Linked DNA regions of Canis lupus familiaris. The protein of the gene in region 1 purifies or fractionates together with the protein of each later gene. This does not show direct contact. Links are inferred from orthologs where the notes say so. Each region holds a gene or a part of one and is shown in the gene's direction. Other genes may lie near its edges.

What was found.
Region 2: the proteins of SUDS3 (region 1) and RBBP4 purify together in Homo sapiens (affinity purification with mass spectrometry; 5 studies listed by BioGRID and IntAct, with this or other methods). This does not show direct contact. The link is inferred for Canis lupus familiaris from reciprocal best matches to the Homo sapiens genes SUDS3 and RBBP4.
Region 3: the proteins of SUDS3 (region 1) and SAP130 purify together in Homo sapiens (affinity purification with western blotting; 3 studies listed by BioGRID, with this or other methods). This does not show direct contact. The link is inferred for Canis lupus familiaris from reciprocal best matches to the Homo sapiens genes SUDS3 and SAP130.
Region 4: the proteins of SUDS3 (region 1) and HDAC1 purify together in Homo sapiens (affinity purification with mass spectrometry; 9 studies listed by BioGRID and IntAct, counting the BioPlex papers as one, with this or other methods). This does not show direct contact. The link is inferred for Canis lupus familiaris from reciprocal best matches to the Homo sapiens genes SUDS3 and HDAC1.
Region 5: the proteins of SUDS3 (region 1) and SIN3B purify together in Homo sapiens (affinity purification with mass spectrometry; 3 studies listed by BioGRID and IntAct, counting the BioPlex papers as one, with this or other methods). This does not show direct contact. The link is inferred for Canis lupus familiaris from reciprocal best matches to the Homo sapiens genes SUDS3 and SIN3B.
Region 6: the proteins of SUDS3 (region 1) and HDAC2 purify together in Homo sapiens (affinity purification with mass spectrometry; 5 studies listed by BioGRID and IntAct, with this or other methods). This does not show direct contact. The link is inferred for Canis lupus familiaris from reciprocal best matches to the Homo sapiens genes SUDS3 and HDAC2.

Annotation. Positions count from the first base shown.
Region 1 is NC_049247.1:15,056,198-15,060,266, forward strand, and holds the start of SUDS3 (sin3 histone deacetylase corepressor complex component SDS3), read left to right. Parts: upstream 1-1,269; 5' UTR 1,270-1,306; coding exon 1,307-1,448; intron 1,449-3,496; coding exon 3,497-3,566; intron 3,567-4,069.
Region 2 is NC_049223.1:68,034,542-68,037,562, reverse strand, and holds part of RBBP4 (histone-binding protein RBBP4), read left to right. Parts: intron 1-7; coding exon 8-118; intron 119-3,021. UniProt on the Homo sapiens protein: Core histone-binding subunit that may target chromatin assembly factors, chromatin remodeling factors and histone deacetylases to their histone substrates in a manner that is regulated by nucleosomal DNA.
Region 3 is NC_049240.1:23,985,439-23,988,938, forward strand, and holds part of SAP130 (histone deacetylase complex subunit SAP130), read left to right. Parts: intron 1-2,837; coding exon 2,838-3,140; intron 3,141-3,500. UniProt on the Homo sapiens protein: Acts as a transcriptional repressor. May function in the assembly and/or enzymatic activity of the mSin3A corepressor complex or in mediating interactions between the complex and other regulatory complexes.
Region 4 is NC_049223.1:68,324,560-68,328,059, reverse strand, and holds part of HDAC1 (histone deacetylase 1), read left to right. Parts: intron 1-1,090; coding exon 1,091-1,203; intron 1,204-3,500. UniProt on the Homo sapiens protein: Histone deacetylase that catalyzes the deacetylation of lysine residues on the N-terminal part of the core histones (H2A, H2B, H3 and H4).
Region 5 is NC_049241.1:46,153,594-46,157,093, reverse strand, and holds part of SIN3B (paired amphipathic helix protein Sin3b), read left to right. Parts: intron 1-942; coding exon 943-1,037; intron 1,038-1,272; coding exon 1,273-1,477; intron 1,478-1,605; coding exon 1,606-1,836; 3' UTR 1,837-3,500.
Region 6 is NC_049233.1:70,470,522-70,474,021, reverse strand, and holds part of HDAC2 (histone deacetylase 2), read left to right. Parts: intron 1-442; coding exon 443-555; intron 556-1,595; coding exon 1,596-1,713; intron 1,714-3,500. UniProt on the Homo sapiens protein: Histone deacetylase that catalyzes the deacetylation of lysine residues on the N-terminal part of the core histones (H2A, H2B, H3 and H4).

The DNA of each region.
Region 1 (4,069 bases):
TTTCTTGTTACCCACAGCTAGACAAGGGACATCCTAAATTTGTTCATTAATAACAGTGTCTCCTACTCAGATGGAATCATATGCATTAATTTATGTGGGTATTCAGTTCTCTTTCTCTCTTTTTTTTAAGATTTTATTTATTCATGAGAGACACAGAGAGAAGCAGAGACATAGGTGGAGGGAGAAACAGGTTCGCTATGGGGAGCCGGATGTGGGACTCGATCCCAGGACCCCAGGATCACACTCTGAGCCAAAGGCAGACACTCAACCGCTGAACCACCCAAGTTCCCCCAGTTCTCTCCCTTTCTAAGTTTCCACACAGCACCTTCCTTATGTCGGCGTAATTAACTTCCTGCAGGCAAAATGTTCTGCTTGCTCAGTTCGGAGTTGTTAGCAAGTTATTGGGTGGGGAAGAGCACCTTTTAAAAAATTAATATTCTAAGAAATGAGGCGGCAGTAATGTACGGCGCTTGGGTGTGATCATGTAAACAAGGCAGCCGGGACGCTACCATTTTTTAGGTAAACGTTTTCATCTGTAAAATTGGAGAAATACCTTATTGAGTACACCTAGACAAACAGAAAGGACTCCCACGGACGGGGAAAAACATCCTTTTGCTGACCCACGGATGGAATATCAGCATCTTTGCCTTTTCGTTTTCAATAAAGCTCCAATTAGGGGAGGAGCCAGGCTCTGGGAGATGATCACAAAAACTCTAGATGTCAGCGTTTCCCAACCTATAAAGGGGGTGGTTCAAGCCGTTCAGCCGTTTCAATGGAAGGAGGTCACCTCCACCTCCCAGGACCCTTCAACCCCTCTGCCTCTCAGGTCGCTAAGGCTCCTCGCTTTAGTTCTGGCTCCTTGCGCCGCCTGGCGGCCATTTCCAGAAGTGGCCAGCGAGCTTCGGGGGTCCTAGCCGCGGCCAGGGACGTCCAAGGATTTGCCTAACTCTAGAGAACGTTGTCTCTGCCCCTCCCACCGCCCGTCGAGGACTTTTAAGACTGCGATGAAGTCGCTGAGGTTAAAACGAAGGGGGCGTCGGGCGGCGTCTCCTCCCCAGGGATGACGGAGTCGGGCGGTCCCCGGGCAGCCCACGACCCGGAAGTCGCCGCCGGCGCGAGGCCCCCGTTGCCGAGCGCGGGCGCGCGGGGCGGGGCTTGGCGGAGACGGGGAAGGGGTTCCCGCGGCGGCCGCGGCTCCCGCTCGTCGGCTCGGCGGCTCCCCCGGGGGCTGCGAGGCGGGCGTCGAGTCCGCAGGGCGCGCGGCCGCGGCCGCTGGGTGGGACGCTCAGCCGCGGCCAGAGGCGACATGAGCGCTGCAGGGCTGTTGGCCCCGGCCCCGGCCCCGGCTGGAGCGCCGCCGGCTCCGGAGTTCTACCCAGAGGAGGACGAGGAGCTGGAGAGCGCCGAGGACGACGAGCGCAGCTGCCGGGGCCGCGAGTCGGACGAAGGTGCGTCCTGCGGCCGCCGGGGGCGGGGGCGGGGGCCGGGGCCGGGGCCGTCCGCCGCCGCGGGAGTGAGGGCGCTGCCCGGAGCGCAGTCCGGGCCCGGGGGAAGCTGACGGGGCCGCTGGGAGGAGCGCGGCTGCAGGAAGTGACCCCCACGGGCTCTGGGGCCGGGGCCGCGGGGGGTCCGGGGGGGACGTCGTGCCCTCACGGTCGCGGGAAGGAGGGCCTGGGGGAGCTGCTGTCGGAGCCGGAGGGCCCTTTAAGGCTCCTTTCCACTCCCGCAAGCGCCTCTGGCGAGCCTGCGCTCCGGGCTTTGCTGGTCGGGATGAGGAAGCTTTCCTCAGAGTACCTTGAGGACCCGCCCCCGCCCCCGCCCCCTCCCCCTTTTAGGTCCGGAGAGGCTCCGGGTGAAGGCCAGTTTGGCCTCCAGGTCCCCAGCTTGCTCGCCCCGACCGTGCGGCCAGCCCGGTGCAGGTGGAGAGTTCGGGTTGCTGAGAAGGCGCTGGGACCAGCCAGGTCAGGGTCTCGGTTTGCCCCGCCGAACCCAGCTTCGTGACCTTAGGCCGCTTATTACTTGAGCTTGCGAGCCTCAGTTTCCTCAGCCCGGAGCGGGGCTTCCTAGCGCAGGCGTGTGGGGGTTAGAGGGGGCGTGCGGGCCGCGCTGGGCCCGGTCGGCCGAGGAGGTCTCCACCGCGCCGGGGAAGCAGGCCCAGGCGAAGATCGGGATTTGCCTAATGGTGCCCGGGTGTTGTGTCTTCAGCCCCACGTTCTTCGTGTTATCATTGCTGCCTTCTCAGAGCCTGGCTCTTCAGACTGGGCTTTTCGGTTTGGCAAGTGTGAGGAAGACTGTTTTGGAGGGATTGAGGAAGGAGCTTACTGGAGACGGAGAAAGGTGAGGGGGAAAGAAAAAAAAAAGACGGGAGAAGAGAGGAGATAGAGACCAGCATGTGGGTAGAATATTCTGGCTGTGGAGCAGAAGGTTGGGCTCGCTGCCTGGAACAAGGAACATGCTTGGTTCCTCTCAGTTCCCCACGGTGGCCGGCCGATGACAGGAGTTCAGCGAAGGCCTCCTGACTGAGAGAGAGGCCAGGGCTCTGTGGAGACTCGGAGCTGCAGCAGCCTTTAAGGAGGCAGAGACGTGTGCACATGATCCAAGTCCAAGGAACTAATTGCGTTTGATTGAATTACATTCGAGGACGGGGCTTCACTAGGGGTTTTGAAAGTGAAACACTTGGGACCGCTCTAAATGCCCACTAGGGGGAGCCGAGAAGCCGAAATTGATTTTTATTCCCGGCCTGGAGTAGGGCTGTTGAAATAATGTAGACCCTTCACTATTGACATAGTCTAAGAACAGCGTTTGAAAAGTTCTGCAACACTTTCTCTTCGATCATCTTCCCCCTTTCATTGTAACTTTTTTTTTTTAAGTTTTATTTATTTATTCATGATAGACACACGGAGGCAGAGACACAGGCAGAGGGAGAAGCAGGCTCCATCCCAGGACTCCAGGATCACGCCCTGGGTCAAAAGCAGGCGCTAAACCGCTGAGCCACCCAGGAATCCCCTTATTGTAACTTTGAAAACATTTTAGTTTGTTAGGGTTCATTGGTTTGGATTCTTCTTTGTGTATATAGGGTTGTCAAATCTGCTGAAAGTTCCAAACTGGGGGTAGACCAGAAGAGAATGGACTCATTAGGTCATTTTGGAGTAACAAGCAAGGCCTGTCCGCCTGTAGTTGTCCTGACATTCGCAGCTCCAGATACTGAACTGCCAGCATGACTTCTCTCGTGAAGTTGCAGCCTTGACCATGACTGCCTACCTCTGAGGCACCGCACCCTGTTCTCTGGCTGTACTTCAGGTGAAGGCAGCTCGTTGCATAAATCTGGTCATGTCTAAACTGGAAAGGGCATTTTCTTTCCTGAAGTAACTGTAATATTTTTCACTGATGGCTTCATGCAGGCCTGCATTCATTTGACAGAAGTTTAAGTGTCACTGTGTCAGGTGATACCAACTTTATGAATTATGATTTTAACCTTTCTTCCCTGATTTTTTAGACACAGAAGATGCTAGTGAAACTGACCTGGCAAAGCATGATGAAGAGGACTATGTAGAAATGAAGGAACAGTGAGTATGAGTCTTAAATTTCTTGTTTGGAATCTACAGTTGACAGGGAAGTCATGACAGTGACCTTGTATTTATGATTTTGACCATAGAGCTTCCAGAGATCATGTGTATGTATACAGTTTCCCCCTTAAATTTGTCCTGTTTAATCGATCTTCCTGTTAAAACAATCTTTTGAGGGTTGGCTAGGAAGAACCTTGAGGGAGATGATCCCAGGGAAATAAAACCATCAGGAGAGAACTGTTTCCCACTCCTTTGAGGTTTTTTTTTTTTTTTTTTTCTTTTCTATATGTGAAAACCATTACTCAGAGTAAAGGATGTGTCATAGCTATTTGGTTCTCAGATGGGGGTGACCCTGCTGAGAGCTGACGGTGTGCAGGATGCCCGGAGAGCTCAGGGAGTCCTGGACTGGAGAGCAAGACTCCCGACTCCTGCTCCAGTACTCTTTCCACTTGTCACACATCCAGGCTCAAGCCTTCTCTAAATGCGCCCAGAGAAACGAAAAC
Region 2 (3,021 bases), on another chromosome or scaffold:
CTTCCAGTTTATTCATGGTGGTCACACTGCCAAGATATCTGATTTCTCCTGGAATCCCAATGAACCTTGGGTGATTTGTTCTGTATCAGAAGATAATATCATGCAAGTGTGGCAAATGGTAAGTGGTGTCATTTATTTGGGGGAAGTTAAATAAATGAGATGTAGTATCACTTCATATTTATCGACTTTACAAATACAGCTGGCATCTCTGGTTAGTTTACTCCTAAGTATGATTTTAGCATTTGCTGCACATTATCATTTTCAAGTGCCTGCTCATTGCTTTTAGCTGCTTATCACACTGCTTATCTCAGACTTAAGGAAACCACACTTCTCTCCTCCTCCTCATTCCCCCTTTCTCCCGATTTTCCTGTTTCCTATATGGCTCCAGTGTAGTGTCCCGCCCCCCCCCCCGCCCCCCAGCGCATCCAACTTGAAAATTCAAGAGTTCTTCATTAATTTTTTTTTTAAGATTTTATTTATTTATTCATAGAGACAGAGAGAGAGGCAGAGGGAGAAGCAGGCTCCATACAGGGAGCCTGATGTGGGACTCAATCCCAGGGCCCCAGGATCACACCCCAGGCTGCAGGCGGCGCCAAACTGCTACGCCACCGGGGCTGCCCGAGTTCTTCATTATTTATTCACCTCTAAGTCTAGTTTACTTAACAGATTTTACATTGTATGCATTGTTTCTTGTATCTGTACTCACCTTACAGATAAACCACTTACATACCCCACTTTCCTATTTCTACTACACACCCTGATTTTTTGGTCATGTTCTCATTACTACTTGCTAGACTCTTGCAATAGCCTCCTTGCTGGCCTCCTGCTTTCCCTGCTTTGCTAGCTGTTGAATCTTTGGGAATGATCATTCCTTTGATGTGGTTTGTGAACATGCCTAGCACAGTTTCTTTTTTTTTTTTTTTTTTTTTTAAGATTTTTTTTATTTATTCATGAGAGACCCACAGAGAGAGAGAGGCAGAGATGCACAGAAGCAGGCTCCAGGCAGGAAGCCCGATGTGGGGCTTGATCCCAGGACTCCGAGATCATACCCTGGACCAAAGGCAAAACGCTCAACCACCCAGGCATCCCCCTAGCACAGTTTCTACCACAATGGCACAGAATCACATACTGCCATTTCTCCATGAAGTGTTACTAGATTCCCAAAATACTCCTGCCCCTTTTACCCCAATTGGGAATTGATTACCCGTTTTTGAATTTCCCGAGTGCTTGGAATTTAATAAGATATCTTTATTAAATTGTCTAATATATAGCAATATAAGAAACATTGGCCTTCTGGAGATGAATGGTGGTGATAGTTGCAGACAAGGTGAATGCCACTGAACTGAACACTTAAAAATGATTAAGATGGCAAATTTTTATATAATAATTTTTAAATTATTTTTATAATTTTAAATTTTTATTTTTACCACCATTTTTTAATTGCATAACTTTTGAATGATCGTGGCCTGATGAATGAAAAGATTTGGAAAAAAAGCTTTTGGTGTTTTAAAGTAGATGTAGAGGTAGGAATAAGCTCCAGGGGAAAATTTTTGGTTCAGTGTAAGGAAAAATACTTTAAATAATCAGAACTCTCTTGAAGAATAGCACTATTAATCAAAGTTAAAGAAATGAAAAGAAAGGGGATCCCTGAGTGGCTCACCGGTTTAGTGCTGCCTTCTGCCCGGGGCATGGTCCTGGAGTCCAGGGATCAAGTCCCACATCGGGCTCCCTGCATGGAGCCTGCTTCTCCCTCTGCCTGTGTCTCTGCCTCTCTCTGTGTGTCACTCATTCATTAATTAATAAATAAATAAATAAATAAATAAATAAATAAATAAATAAATAAATCTTGAAAAGAAAAAGAAAAAGAAATGGAAAGAAAAAAAATGAGTTTTTGTGGCTTATGAGATTAACAAGTTACATAGTATATCCATACTTTGAAATGTTATATATCCAAAAGAAATATGCTTCGTTTTCATAAGATATTCATGACATGAAGTAGGGAAAAAAGCAGATCGTTGGACAATAAATAGCATTTTATAATCCCTCATATTATTATAGCTAGTCTTGAATTTAATTATATGTAATTATTTAGGAGGCTCTTTGCCATAAGATTGGTATATTTAGGGAGTTTTTTTATTTCTTTTTTTTTTTTTTTTTTAAAGATTTTATTTATTTATTCATGAGATACACAGAGAGAGAGGCAGAGACACAGGCAGGAGAAACAGGCTCCATGCAGGGAACCCGACATGGGACTCGATCCTGGATCTCCAGGATCATGCTCTGGGCTGAAGGCAGCGCTAAACTGCTGAGCCACCCAGGCTGCCCTTTGGATTTCTTTATATACCTATCACTATTACGATTTGTAATAATAAGTACGTATTACACATATAAACAGAAAATCTACCTCACCTTTTTCCTTGTAATATATGCATAGATAATTAATATAAAAAGTTAAGAGCTCTTTAAACATTTTTTAAGATTTTATTTATGCACACATGTGTGGGGTGGGGGGCAAAGGGAGAAAGAGAAGTGGGCTCCCCACTGAGCAGCGAGACCAATGTCCTCAGATGGGCCTCAATCCCAGGACCCTGAGATCATATCCTGAGCCAAAGGCAGTCTTTTAACCAACTGAGCTACGCAGGTGCCCCTAAAGTTAAGAGTTCTGACAGGAGGGTGATATGTGCTGCCTTGGGATAGCCTGTCAATTAAACCTATTTTAGTTGCTGTGGAATGTTGCAGGATATTGAACTACATCATCTTCAGGCCAGTTTGTTCTTTTGCTCCGTGTTTTTAGAATAGTGGTAAAAGAACAATAGAATTGTTAAACAAGTGAATATTCAGTGTTTGTCCAAGATCCTAAAACCCTTAAGGTTGTCTAAGTGGTAGGAGTCTGTTTTTAAGGAGCCCCTTTTGGCCATACCTGAGTTTAAGCTAAGGAGGTAATTTTGGGGCCTCTGGAAGGCCTCAGGATGGGATTGGTCTCCTGAAAAAAACAGTTGGGAGAACTCTTCAGTCGTGTCA
Region 3 (3,500 bases), on another chromosome or scaffold:
CTAGGAAGTGCCAAGTTCCAGTAAAAGAGGCTTAAGCAAAGCCAGCCTGCTTTTGAGTTAAGAGAGGTTATTTCCACTTGAGAGGGTAGGGTTGGAGGTGAGAAGTGATTTCCTAAAGGAAGTGAAATTTGGAAAACCTCTCAATGCACAAGACAGAGCTATGGGGTAGGATTTGGGGAGAGCACTCTCCTGTGTGTGAATAAAGTATTAGCATAGAATATGTGCTTGGAACAGAGCAGTTTGGTTTTGGCAGGAGTGTAGTGTGAGTAAGAATGCAGAACATGGAATGAGATTGGATCTTGAAAGGCTTGGAGTGGTGACTAGACTGCATGTTCAGGCAAGTGCCCACAACTGTTACTGAGAAACAAAGGTTTACTCACTTCTTAAGAAGAAACTAATAATTTGGGGGGGTTAGTTCTTTTTTTTCTTTTTCTTTCTTTCTTTACAACAGGGGAAGAATTGCAATGTAGCAGTCATTATGAACTTAGAAGAACTTATGAACTTAGAACTTTTTTAGATTTTATTTATTTATTCATAGAGACACAGAGAGAGAGAGAGGCAGAGACACAGGCAGAGGGAGAAGCAGGCTCCATGCAGGGAGCCCAACATGGGACTCGATCCTGGGTCTTCAGGATCACACCCTGGACTGAAGGAGGCGCTAAACCGCTGAGCCACCTGGGCTGCCCAGTCTTATGAATTTAAATGTGCTAACATTTCATTGTAATTTTCTCATTGGTGATAACAATTTACCTTTTCTTAACTGCTATATGGTTTATAAAATTTAAATTACATAGTTTCCCCCTTTTTTTAAATTGAGGTATCATTGACATATTAGCTTCAGGGATCCCCGGGTGGCACAGCGGTTTAGTGCCTGCCTTTGGCCCAGGGCGCGATCCTGGAGACCCGGGATCGAATCCCACGTCGGGCTCCCGGTGCATGGAGCCTGCTTCTCCCTCTGCCTGTGTCTCTGCGCCCCTCTCTCTCTCTCTGTGACTATCATAAATAAATAAAAATTTAAAAAAAAAACATATTAGCTTCAGAGGTACAACATAATGATACGGTATTTGTGTATGTCATCAAATCACCATAAGTCTAGTTAACATCCATTGACAACAGAATTACAAATTGTTTTTTCTTGTGATGAGAACTTAAAGAAATATCCTCTTAGCAACTTTCAGATGTACAATATAGTATTGTTAACCATGGTCACCATGCTGTACATTACATCCCCATGTCTTACTTCTTTTATAACTGGCAGTTTGTATCTTTGATGCCCTTCCCTGTGTCTCCCACCCCCAACCCCCATTTCCTGCCTTTGGCAACTACCAGTCTGTTCTTTGTATCTATGAACTTGGTTTGTTTATATTTGTTTTTAAATTCCATGTATAAGTGAGATCATACTGGGGATTTTCTGTCTTTGTCTGGCTTATTTCACTTAGCATAATGCCCTGAGGATTCATCCATGTTGTCACGGGTGGCAAGATTTAATTTTCTGAGGCTAAATTATGTGTGTGTGTATGTGTGTGTGTGTGTAGATAGAGATTCCATTCTCTCTACCCATTTATCCCTCAGTGGACCCTTTGGGTTGTTTTGATATCCTGGCTATTGTCAATAATGTTTCAGTGAATATGGGGTACAAATATCTTTTTCTGGATTGTTTTGATGACTGAGAAGAAACATCATTTATATTATTCTTTCCATAAGTAGAAATTCTTTTTTGATTCCTGGGAATACTGTTGTTTTCAGTTCTGTTGTTGTTGAGTTTGTTTTTAATATATACAGTAGTGAAAAGGAAACTTGTTTGTTCTCTCTCTTCAGTGGATATGTGGAAGTTCAAATTCATAGTTGCCATATATCAGAAATACCTGTGATGGTGGTTCCATCAATTAGAGTAAAGGTTCTTGACCTGGGAGTTACGGATGTATCTCAGAAGTTTTATTTAGGGATCCCTGGGTGGCGCAGCGGTTTGGCGCCTGCCTTTGGCCCAGGGCGCGATCCTGGAGACCTAGGATCGAATCCCACATCGGGCTCCCGGTGCATGGAGCCTGCTTCTCCCTCTGCCTATGTCTCTGCCTCTCTCTCTCTCTCTCTCTCTCTGTGACTATCATAAATAAATAAAAATTGAAAAAAAAAAAAGAAGTTTTATTTAGCACAGTTGCCTGTTCCTATTTGGAATTTAATAGATGATTTATTTTTTCTTGTTTTAATGCTCTTTCTAGTAATCTGCAGCAACATCATATCAAACTGATAGGAAGTGAGGGGAAAAAACTCTAATATATAGAGCTTTATGTAGTGCTTAGGGAAAAAATAAGATTTATGGGGCACCTGGGTGGTATAGTCATTTGGGCATCTGACTCGGTTTTGGCTTGGGTCATGATCTTGGGATTTTGAAATTGAGCCCCAGATCAGACTCTGTGCTCTGTACTGAGTCTACTTGAAATTCTCTCTCCCTCTCCCTCCCCACTCCCCACCCCCAACTTGTGTGCACTCGCTCACTCTCTCTCTCGCTCACTCTCATAAATAAATCTTAAAAAAAAAAAAAAGAAGACGACGACTAGCGCACCTGGGTGACTCAGTTGGCTGAGCATCCAACTCTTGATTCCAGCTCAGGTCACGATCTCAGGGTCATGAGATCAAGCCCCACATTGGACTCTGTGCTGGGTGTGGAATCTGCTGAGGATTCTCTCTCTCCTTCTTAAAAATAAAAAACCACAAAACTGAGGATTTAGATCTTTTAGGGTGGAAAATTCTGTTTTCATTTTAGTGTTTTTCTCTTTATGTGGACTGTGTCTAATCAGAGCTGACATTCTTGTAGTCACTTTCTGCATCATTTTCAGTTTCCGCTCAGGCTCCAAACTCTGCCATCACAGCTCAAACTGGTGTCGGGGTAGCATCCACGGTCCACCTAAACCCCATGCAGTTGATGACAGTAGATGCTTCTCATGCTCGACATATCCAAGGGATCCAGCCAGCACCCATCAGTACACAGGGGATACAGCCAGCCCCCATCGGGACTCCAGGAATACAGCCAGCACCAATGGGCACACAGGGAATTCACTCAGCAACCCCAATCAGCACACAGGGACTTCAGCCTGCACCAATGGGTACTCAGCAGCCACAGCCTGAAGGAAAGACTTCAGGTAATTTGAGTTTTTGCATGGAAGTTGGTATGGAGGAAAGAGTGATACTAGGTTTAAATCCTGGTTCTGCTACATATTGGTTAGGTAGTCTCGATTAATTTCTCTGTGCCTTAATTTCCCTTTTTTAACATGAATTGCTTGTAATTTATCTGTCAGAGTCATTGTAAACATTAAGAAATATATACATAAACAGCCAAATATGCGTTTGCATGTGTTAAAGCACTCCATAAAGTTGAGAGAGCAAATTCACCTTATTACAGTGTTCTCATTCTGTTTAAGATTTTTTTTGGAGTTGTATATGAAGCTGTAAAATTAATGTATCATTTTTAAGGATTGTTGGTATCCTTTTTAGGTGTTGAG
Region 4 (3,500 bases), on another chromosome or scaffold:
GGTTTTTGAGCAGGGGAATGGTGTTATTAAAGCTGTGTGTTAGAAAAATAACTGGTCAGTGTGGCAGATAGTTTTGAGTTGAAGACAGAGGAACCAATTAGAAGTCTATTGCTATAGAGGAAGCTAGAGATGATAAGAGTTTAGTTTTCTTATCTATACAATAGGAATAATACTCCTGTTTTACCAGGTTCTTGTGAGGATCCATTAATTTTTTTTTAAGATTTTATTTATTTATTCATAGACACAGAGAGAGAGAGGCAAAGACACAGGCAGAGGGAGAAGCAGGCTCCGTGCAGGGAGCCTGATGTGGGACTCGATCCTGGGTCTCCAGGATCACACCCCAGGCTGCAGGCTGCGCCAAACCGCTACGCCACCAGGGCTGCCCCTGAGGATCCATTAAGAAAGTAAATGTAAATGTGCTTTAACCCCATAAAGTGTTTTAATATGAAAGAGGTGAACTGTGACTTATAATAATTCTGAATAGTAATGGTTATTTTTCTGTTGTGGGAGTGAATTCTTTGCAGATACGGTGAGGTGAATCACCTTGTTGCCTGCTATTCTCCAGTAGCTTTGGAATGAACCGTTTTTACACTGTGTAGTGCCTGTCGGCTAGGCTTATTTTTTTTTTTAATTTTTTAAATTTTATTTATTTATGATAGGCACACAGTGAGAGAGAGAGGCAGAGACACAGGCAGAGGGAGAAGCAGGCTCCATGCACCGGGAGCCCGACGTGGGACTCGATCCCGGGTCTCCAGGATCGCGCCCTGGGCCAAAGTCAGGCGCTAAACCGCTGTGCCACCCAGGGATCCCATCGGCTAGGCTTATATCTTTAAGTGCTGGACTCACCAGAGTCCCCTGCTTTTTTTGTTTGTTGTTCCTGTTTTGTTTTGTTTTATTTTTATTTTGTTTTTTTTTGTTTGTTTGTTTTATTTTTATTTTGGAGTTAACTCTTCCTCAAGGTGGGTGAGAATCTTGGGGACTAGAACGAAAGAGAAAGAATATGATTAGGAGATGGTTATAAAAATTCCTGGATTCTCCTGGGAGTGTATGTCTAACTGTGTCACTGAAACTGTCACTCTTTTTTCTTCAGGGGATGTTGGAAATTACTATTATGGACAAGGCCACCCAATGAAGCCTCACCGAATCCGTATGACTCACAATTTGCTACTTAACTATGGTCTCTACCGAAAAATGGAAATCTATGTGAGTTACTGGGACCCCCACCACTCCCTAACCCCATCAGCTCTAGTTATGTTATCTCATTTTCTCAACTACTCATTCATCAGATGTGTCGAATGGGCTGTTATGTGGCAGACATTGAAAGAGATTTCTGTTTTTAAAGGGTTCGCTCCAGTGCTGGAGACTGACAGGTACACAAATAAATTGTACTACAGTCTGAGGGCGTACAATTAAATAATGTACAAGATACAGAGATAATGAAAAGTGAAGGAGGAAGGGAAGCCTTGGAATGTTTCCTGGAGGTACTATCTGAGCAGAATTTTAAATATTGAATAGAATTTAGCCAGGAGTTCAGGAGGGGACTGACATTCTAGACCAAGGGAAGAGTGTAAACAAAAAGGCAAAGAGGTAAGAACAGTATGGTGTGTTTGGGGAAACTATGAGTAGTTTCTAGGTAGTGCTATAGTGTAAAGGTCTCACGGGTGTGAGTAAAGGGACCTACAGTTGGAGAGGTCAGCAAGGATTGGATATGCTGTACTATGTAATAAGCAACTCTGATGGGCCAGGATTTAAAAAAAAAAATCCAATGCCTAAAAAAAGAGCAATTGGGACTATGTTGAGCTAGACAAGTCCCTAATTACTAGAGAGCATAGACTCTAAACTGCTTGACTCAGTTCCGTCTGATTTTTGCCCACCTACCGGTTTTTATTTTATTTATTTATTTTTTAAAGATTGTATTTATTTGAGAGAGAGAGCACAAGCATATGGAGAGGGATGCCTCCACTGGTGGTGCCCCCACCATCAGTTTTTAAAGAGAAGTTAGGGATCCATATTATTCTGTAATGTGGGGCCTGATCTCAAGACCTTGAGATCGTATTCTGAGCTGAACCTGAGAGTTGGACACTTAATTGATTATGCCACCCAGGTGCTCCAAAGATTTTTTTTTTTTAAAGTAATCTCTACACCCAGTGTGGGGCTGAAACTTCAACCCCAAGATGGTGAGTTGCATGCTCTACTGACTGAGCCAGCCAGGCATCCCCAAGTAATGGATTTTAAATCAAAGAGAGATAAAACAGGTATGCATTTTATTTTTATTTATTCTTAAAATATTTTATTTATTTATTGGGGGGGTGCAGCTGGGTGGCTCAGTCGGTTAAGTGTCTGCCTTCGGCTCAGGTCATGATCTCAGGATTCTGGGATCGAGCCCCACATGAGGCTTCCTGCTTCTCCCTCTGTGCCTACTTGTGCTTTCTCTCTCTGTCAAATACATTAAAAAAATGAATTAAATTTTAGAAAATAGAGTTAGTGGGTGGGAGGGAAAGGGAGAGAGAATTTGAAGCAGACCGCATTGAGTGCAGAGCCACACATGGGGCTTGATCCTGCAACCGTGAGACTATGACTTGAGCTGAAACCAAGAGTTGGATGCTTAAACCGACTGAGCCACCCAGGTGCTAAGTAATCTGCCCGGTATGGGGTGAAAACTCTCAGCCTCGAGATCAAGAGTCACATGTTCCACCAACTGAGCCAGTCAGGAGCCTCCAGGCATGCATTTTAGTAGGGAAGCCAGTTAGGCTGTTGCAAAGGTCCAAATGAGAAAATAAAGAAGGGCTGGGAGCCTATGTTGCCTTATGGTTAGAGCCTAAGAGTCTGTGGTTAAAGTCTGTGCTGGCAGCTTAAGTAACCTAGCAACAGCAGTATCCTTCCTCACCATTCCAGAGACTGAGAGGAGATGAGTCTTCTGTCTCAGATGGCCCTGTTATGTCCCTAGAGCCACTGGAGGCAGCTGGGGAAGCAAGGAGGGAAGGTAGACAGAGGAGCAGGCAGATGTGGGACCAGAGACCTTTGTCAGGTGTGAAAGGCATCTGAGAATGAAAAACATAAAAGGTAGCAGACAGAGGTTTTGAGGGACTCTAGGGAGTAGACTAGCATTTAGATAAAAAGAGGATACCTGAATGTGGAATAGCGAGCGCCGAGACCTTCCAGAGTTCCCTCTTATACATCTATACCTTGCTAATCTGGCTCTAGCTTGCCTCCTTTTCTGTCACTCCCCTCTCAGAACCCTCAGATCAGATTCTGCCTCTTTCTACCCCATCCTGACTGGGAGGATTACTCTGCCCAGTCATATTTTACTCATCTTCAAAAGTTACCTCAAGCCCTCTTTCTCTCTTTCATTCAGTATATATATATATTTATGATAGTCACACACAGAGAGAGAGAGAGAGAGAGAGGCAGAGACACAGGCAGAGGGAGAAGCAGGCTCCATGCACCGGGAGCCCGACGTGGGACTCGATCCCGGGTCTCCAGGATCGCGCTCTGGGCCA
Region 5 (3,500 bases), on another chromosome or scaffold:
GGCCACTGCACATGCCCCATCAGGAGCCAGTGTGCATGTCCAGGGCAGGAAGGCAGGTGAGAGCCAGGCCATCCTTCCCCAAAACCCTCTTCCTGGCTCCTCCCACCTGCTGCAAACACTGTCATCCCCCTTGAGCCCATGGCCTGCATGGTCACTCCGACCCTGTGGCGTGTGGCCCTGTACTCCCCGTGCCTGAAGCCCAGAGCCCTGGATCCCAGCCCCTGGTCACCAGGAGAAACCCCCTGGCCCACACTCTAGATGCACATTCCACTTGGTATCCCGGTGCCTCTAAGCCCCTAGCCTCCTTCACAGAGTAGGGCCCTCCCCACTACTGCAGCCAGTGGGGGTCCCCTTGTGGAATCCTTCCCTGTGGGCCTCAGGGCTTCCCAACAGCAGATGCTTTCCCAGACAAGTGTAGGTGGGGGTCTGTACACCCTGCTCCTTCCAGAAGTTTCCAGCAAATGTGGTTTTGTGAGGCTTGAGTCTGGAGGAGCCTGTGGCTTTTAGAAGGTGGTGAACAGAGGGAGGGTCACTTGGACACGGCAGACCATGCTCACCCCTGACCTGAGCAGCCCCTGCAAGCCCTGCCTTCTGCTCATCCCCAACTCCTGCCTGGCCTGTCCCTGCCGCTCCTCGGATCCAGCTCCTCTGTGTGAAGGCCCCGCTCCCTGGGGGAGCTTGTCACGTGACGGGTGCAGAGAGGATGTCATATAGCAGGTGTGCTTATCCACCCAAGCGTGAAATGCCACAGCTGTCTACCTTGTGGCTCTGGGCAAGTGCTTCAGCCAGAGCTGCTGCCATCTGGTGGCTCCTCAGTAGCTGCCACCCTCCCGATGCTTTGGGAAACTGAGGATGAAATCCCTGGGAGCCCCTGAGCTCAGGGTCCCAGGTGAGAGGCTGGTGCCTCCAATGACACGGGCCTGTCTCCCCATGTCCCCACAGCACCTGGCTCGGTATGTGGAGCAGTATGTGGGGACCGAGGGGGCATCCAGCTCGCCCACCGAGGGCTTTCTCCTGAAGCCCGTGTTCCTGCAAAGGTAAGAGGACCCCCAGATGTGGTTCCTTCCCGGGGGACCCGCTCCCACCACCGGCAGCAGCAGGGCCCAGCACCAGGGCCTGACTGGTTTTCCCCGTGTTGCTGGCCAAAGGGGTAGGGTAGTGGTTTCCACCACATCGGTCTGCATTTGTCTGACCCCGGGGAAGTCAGCCGTCTTCCCGGCGTTTACGGGCTGTGAGGATTTCCCAGTCTGCAGATCCTCCTCTCGCCTCCAGGAACCTCAAGAAGTTCCGCAGGTGGCAGTGTGAGCAGGTGCGTGCCCTGCGCGGCGAGGCCAAGAGCTCCTGGAAGCGGCTGGTCGGGGTCGAGAGCGCCTGCAACGTGGACTGTCGCTTCAAGCTCAGCACCCACAAGATGATGTTCATCGTCAACTCCGAGGACTACATGTACCGCCGTGGGACCCTCTGCCGGGCCAAGCAGGTGCCCCTCTCTGCCCGGGGCCTGGGAGCCACGGCTGTCTGGGAGTGGTGTGCACCCTTTTTCCCCCCAGGATCCGGCCCACGGCTATCTGGGGCTGCCCTGACTCCCCTCCCCACCCCCTTCTGCAGGTACAACCACTGGTCCTGCTGCGCCACCACCAGCACTTTGAGGAGTGGCATGGCCGCTGGCTGGAGGACAACGTGACAGTGGAGGCGGCTGGCCTGGTGCAGGACTGGCTGATGGGCGAGGAGGACGAGGACATGGTGCCCTGCAAGACCCTCTGTGAGACGGCACACGTGCACGGCCTGCCTGTGACCCGCTACCGAGTGCAGTACAGCCGCCGCCCAGCCTCGCCCTGACTCCCTCGGTGGGCGCCATGACGCGCGGTTTGGTGCAGCCACTTCCCTGGCCCAGATGTGCATCGGGGCCTTCTCATGAACAACCTGAGGGGAGCACAGTGTCCCCCAGCCTTGCTGCTACAGGCTGCGAGCTCTAGAGGATAGGGTTGTGTCGGCTTGTGGCCCTGTGCTACCATCCCTTTCGGCTTCCCTGCTTCCTTTGGGTTTATCCCGTGCCAAACCTGACCCCTTCCTGCACTTGAACTCGGGGCTCGCTCCTTGCTGGAAGGGGGAGGATCAACACGCTGGCCGAGGAGCAAGTGATGGCCTTTATGCACCTGCTGGGCCGCTTTCATCACACGTGCCAAATCCCTAGGTGAGGGCACCACTGGTCCTTTTGTGCAGTGTCTGGAAAAGTCCGTGATGAACTGCGCGTTGGGGGGCATGTGTGGGGGAGGGGGTCGGCATTCAAGAGACCCCAACATCGAAGGAGTCGGGCCTGGGGGATCTGCTTGAAAAGCTTGTCCTTCCTGAATGGTTCTAAAAGCTTCTGGAAATTTCCCAAGCTGGGACCATGCCTGCATCTGATAGTTTGGGCATGGGTGTGGCCCTGCTAATGCGTGGGGTCCTTGGTCACTTTGAAAGCAGGAGGAGCCCTTTGGGCCAAACTGTTGAGATTCTGCTTTGGTGTCAGGATGTGGCATGGGAGGCCCCACCCTGGAAGAAATGGGACTCCAAACCCTGTGTTGACATGGCAGCCACACTCCGAGCTCCCGAGGGGAGGGGGCTCAGCCTGAAACTCCCTTGGAGCTCGAGTGGCCCCACACTGGTGGGGGGGCCAGAGGTGCGGCCATGTACCTAAGAAGGACATTCTAGAAATATATATATGCACACAAGTATTTATTCATAAGCTCTCCTAGTGGTTGTAACTTCTGCAGCAGCCAAGTCCCACGGTTCCTTGGGCAGTTGAGAGCCCTCTTCGTGGGACTCTGCAGGTCTGCCCTTGACGTTGCCATTCCTAGAGCCACCACCTGGACAGGGGACAGGCATGAGGGGCTGAGGCGACTGCCCTACAGAGGCTTTCTGTGCCAAGAATGCCAAGCAGTCTGGGCTGGGGACCAGCTCTCTAGAATTCCTGCACCATGAAAAGTCCTGGCCGGGCTCCTGGCACCATCAGAAGGGGGTCAACCAACAGGGGCTCCAGAACCATCCCCGTGCGGCCTCCTTTCTGCCCAGCAGCAGCCCTCACCCTCCCAAAACTGAGCTGTGCCAAATATGCAGTTCTGGGGATTGGAGATGTGTTTCTAGAAGTTACCTGTGGAACTCAAGGTTTGCAAAGCCTTTGACTCGGGGTCTGGGCGATTCCAGGGCCAGTGTGCCCTGCCCAGGGTCTTCTAGCCCATGTTTGCTCAAGTGTACCAGGCACTTTGTCCACATCCTTGTTTTATAAGAAGGGAACTTACCGGAATTCCTGAACCAGACCCTCCCAGCGCCATCCTCCGGAGCCCGTGGCCCCTTCCGTGCCTCTCTGCGGCCCTGGGGTGCGGGCCACACCCCACTGAGCCCCGCCCTGCATGCTTCTAGGGAGCGTCTCTTCTGTTTTTGAAGAATTTCTGTTCTGGGGCTTGTACTTCCTTTGCAGCTGTTTTGAATGTAGTTTTTCCTTTTCTATTTATTTGCACATT
Region 6 (3,500 bases), on another chromosome or scaffold:
TCTCTCTCTCTCTCATGAATAAATAAATAAAATCTTTTAAAAAAAAAGCAATATTTGCTGTAAAATGTTTAAATAACAATGAAACTCAGAATTTGCTTTAGGCGTCTGAATTTGTCCATAAATACAAAAAATTAATTTTCAAATTTAAGTAACTAAAACTACTGTTATAAGTATTTTATTAGGGCTAATCCTAAATAAATTTTGGCAAACTGAAAATCTGAAAAGCTTGCTTGCTTTTAATCTCTAATAAACGTGTATTAATGAAGTTACCACAGTTAACGTAACCCAGTATCTTGGCTTTCTAGTACAGTTTGAAAATTGAAAGATCTGAGATCATTTCAAGTTTTAAATCTTGATTAGGTGGTAAGTGCCTTGTGATGATGAACACACATAAATTTAGACTGTAAAGATTCTCTATTCAGTTGTCTTTTTTCTATTTTAGGTGATATTGGAAATTACTATTATGGACAGGGTCATCCCATGAAACCTCATAGAATCCGCATGACCCATAACTTGCTGCTAAATTATGGCTTATATAGAAAAATGGAAATATACGTAAGTATACCTTTTGGTAAATATTCAGTGTTGTTTTTTTTTTTTTTAATCTACTTTGAAATTATTAATCCCCTTAAATGGCGTTTAGCAGATGAAAACAAACTCTGGAAGAAAACAAACTCTTTTTGTTTTAATCTTCAGAGAAAACAGTGTGGGAATGGTTTTTAACCCTCTTACTCGACCATTTTTCAAAAGTTTCTCATATCCCACCTTTTCACATTTTGGCCAACAACTCAGTTTAGCAAACTAAATATCTTTGTTGCAATAGTGGTTTACTTGGCTGTGCTGCTGAAGAGTTGACTATTACAGAAGAATTATGTAGGAAATTCTACAAATACTTACTGACATATGGAGCAGTGTATTAGTGGATGTGTACAGTACAGCTAACATTTAGGATACACCTACCTTAAGTGCTTTTGCACTAATGTGGAAGTATATGTAAACAAATGCAAGACACAGTTCTTGCCTGTTTGGGGAGAAAAGAAAGACTTGAAACAGTTACTAGTATTGAGTATATATGAGTTACTTTTTTCAGATAACAAATATTTACAGGAAAGGAGGGGTTGGATTATATACTTTCTGGAAGCCTCCTGGGAAAAGTGTGTTAAAAATGAAATTGAGCTCTTGGGAATAAGGATAATTAGGATAGGCAAAGGAAAGGAAGAGATTGTGAACAAAGACTTAAAATTGAGCTTGAGTCTCAGTCTCACTTGATACAGAGCAGACGGTTTATGATGGAAAGTGAGAGTTCCTGAACAGATTCAACTTTATAAGCATTGACCCATTTCCACTGCAATAAAAGGAATGTATAATTGGGGTCAGACCTGTCTAATGGCTTTAAAGGAGTAGGAATTAGCTTTGGAATTGATTACTCATTTCTAAGAAATACACGTATAAATTTGGATTCACTTTGGAATTTATTTTCTGGCAGAGCTAGTTCTTCTGAGAGGATTGTTAGGGGAAATTGTGTACGTGGTGTTTGATGACTCTGATGTAACCAGTTGTGGCTCCACCATTCTGACATTTGTTTTTCTTCACAGAGGCCCCACAAAGCCACTGCTGAAGAAATGACAAAATACCACAGTGATGAGTACATCAAATTTCTACGTTCAATAAGACCAGATAACATGTCTGAGTATAGTAAGCAGATGCAGAGATGTACGTTTCTATGTTAAAAGTCTATGTTAATCTTACTAAGGATCAGTGAGTATTTTCTAGAAGCATATCATTAGAATATCCACATGTAGGTGTTCCGCCTGAGGAAGATACTTCCTTAGTTAATTACTGGTTTGAAAAGTCAATGTAAAAATTAAAAATACTAAAACTGCTTTAAAAAAAACAACAAAAAAAACCAGGCGCCTGGGTAGCTCAGTTGACTCACTGATGCTGAGCTCGAGGCTTGCGTCGGCCTCCGCACCCAGCACAGTCAGGTCCCTCTCTCCCCCTGCTTGTGGGTGCGCCCTCACGCGGACCTGAGCACTTTCTCTCCCAGAAAGAAGGAAAGAAAATCGTAAAACCCAAAACAAAATCTACCCGAAGCCTGAGCTCTTGGGAATAAGGATAATTAAGATATCCATCTGCCAGACGGCCCAAGAGCTGTCTGGATGTTCCTCTAGTCTTTGTTTTGGTCCCATGTTACCTTGGGGATGATGGGTATTGGTGGGGAGACCTTACTTCCCTGCCTTTTTAAAAAAAAAAAAGTCTACTTGGATTGGCCTTAGCTTGGTGTATGTACGGATCTCTTACCTCTCTTTGTGTGTTTTAGTTAATCTGGATTGTTAATACATAATCTGTTCCATTTGTTAGTGAAGCTTCTTCTACGTGATTTTGATTTTGATTTTCTTCTACGTGATACTCTCTTTTATAGATACGTGTTTTGTTATTAGCGGTTGCCTGGCTTGAAAGTGGAATGAGAAATGTCTTAAAATGATTGAAACAGTTTTTTTTTTTAAAGCATGATACTGAAGTTCATTCTCATCAGCAGTTCTGTTCTCTCATGAATAAATAAATAAAATCTTTTAAAAAAAAGCAATATTTGCTGTAAAATGTTTAAATAACAATGATTTTAAAATCACTTCAGTGATTTTTTTTGAGAAGAACAATTTCAGATACTAAATTAGGTGTAGTGGCTTGATAAGTTATACATTCATAGAACTTTGTACCCATTTCTACCTTAGATTATTTCATTTACTCAATAAAATGCTATAATGCATGTAGAACATATTTTTTATACCTTTTTTTTGGATACAGGTTCAGGCTTAGATTAAAAGTCCTGTGTAGATAGGGCAAATGAATTAACAGGATTGATTTAATACATAATACTGAATTATATTAAGATTATGATTATATTTAAATAGTAAGAAACTAAAAGCTGTTCATTATCATGCTAATAAACTAAAGGTATACAAAGCTATGTAAAATAATTACCCTTATTTTTGAAGAGGTTATAATTGGGGTGGGAAGAGGCTGCGAATGGGTCATGTACATAAATAATATGTCCCTTTAATCCTGTCAGTACTGAGGAACTAAATATATTGCAATGTGTCATGTACCCGTGTTGTTTCCTTGTGCTTTACCCCTTCCTTCTATGTCTTGGCTGCTCCGAACCTAGTTAATTCTTACCATCCTTTAAGATTGGGTAGGCAGCCAGCTGCTTTGTCTTTTTAGTACTCACTAAAATATATTTCAAAGTTATGGATGTTCTGTGCATTTAAGGAGTTTTAGAAAAAGTAAATCATAAAGGAATTAAAGTTTTTTAAGTTTTTTAGAACCTTGATTAATTTGTTGTATGTTTTAGGAGAAATGCCTAATATTTAAGTGCGTGTTTTAATTTAAATAATTCAAATACCTTTTATATTTTGGTGGCTATTGATCTTCTGATAATAGAGCTGAGATTTTCTACAAATTATCCTGGTAGGATTTGGTGGTGATGTTTTACATATAAC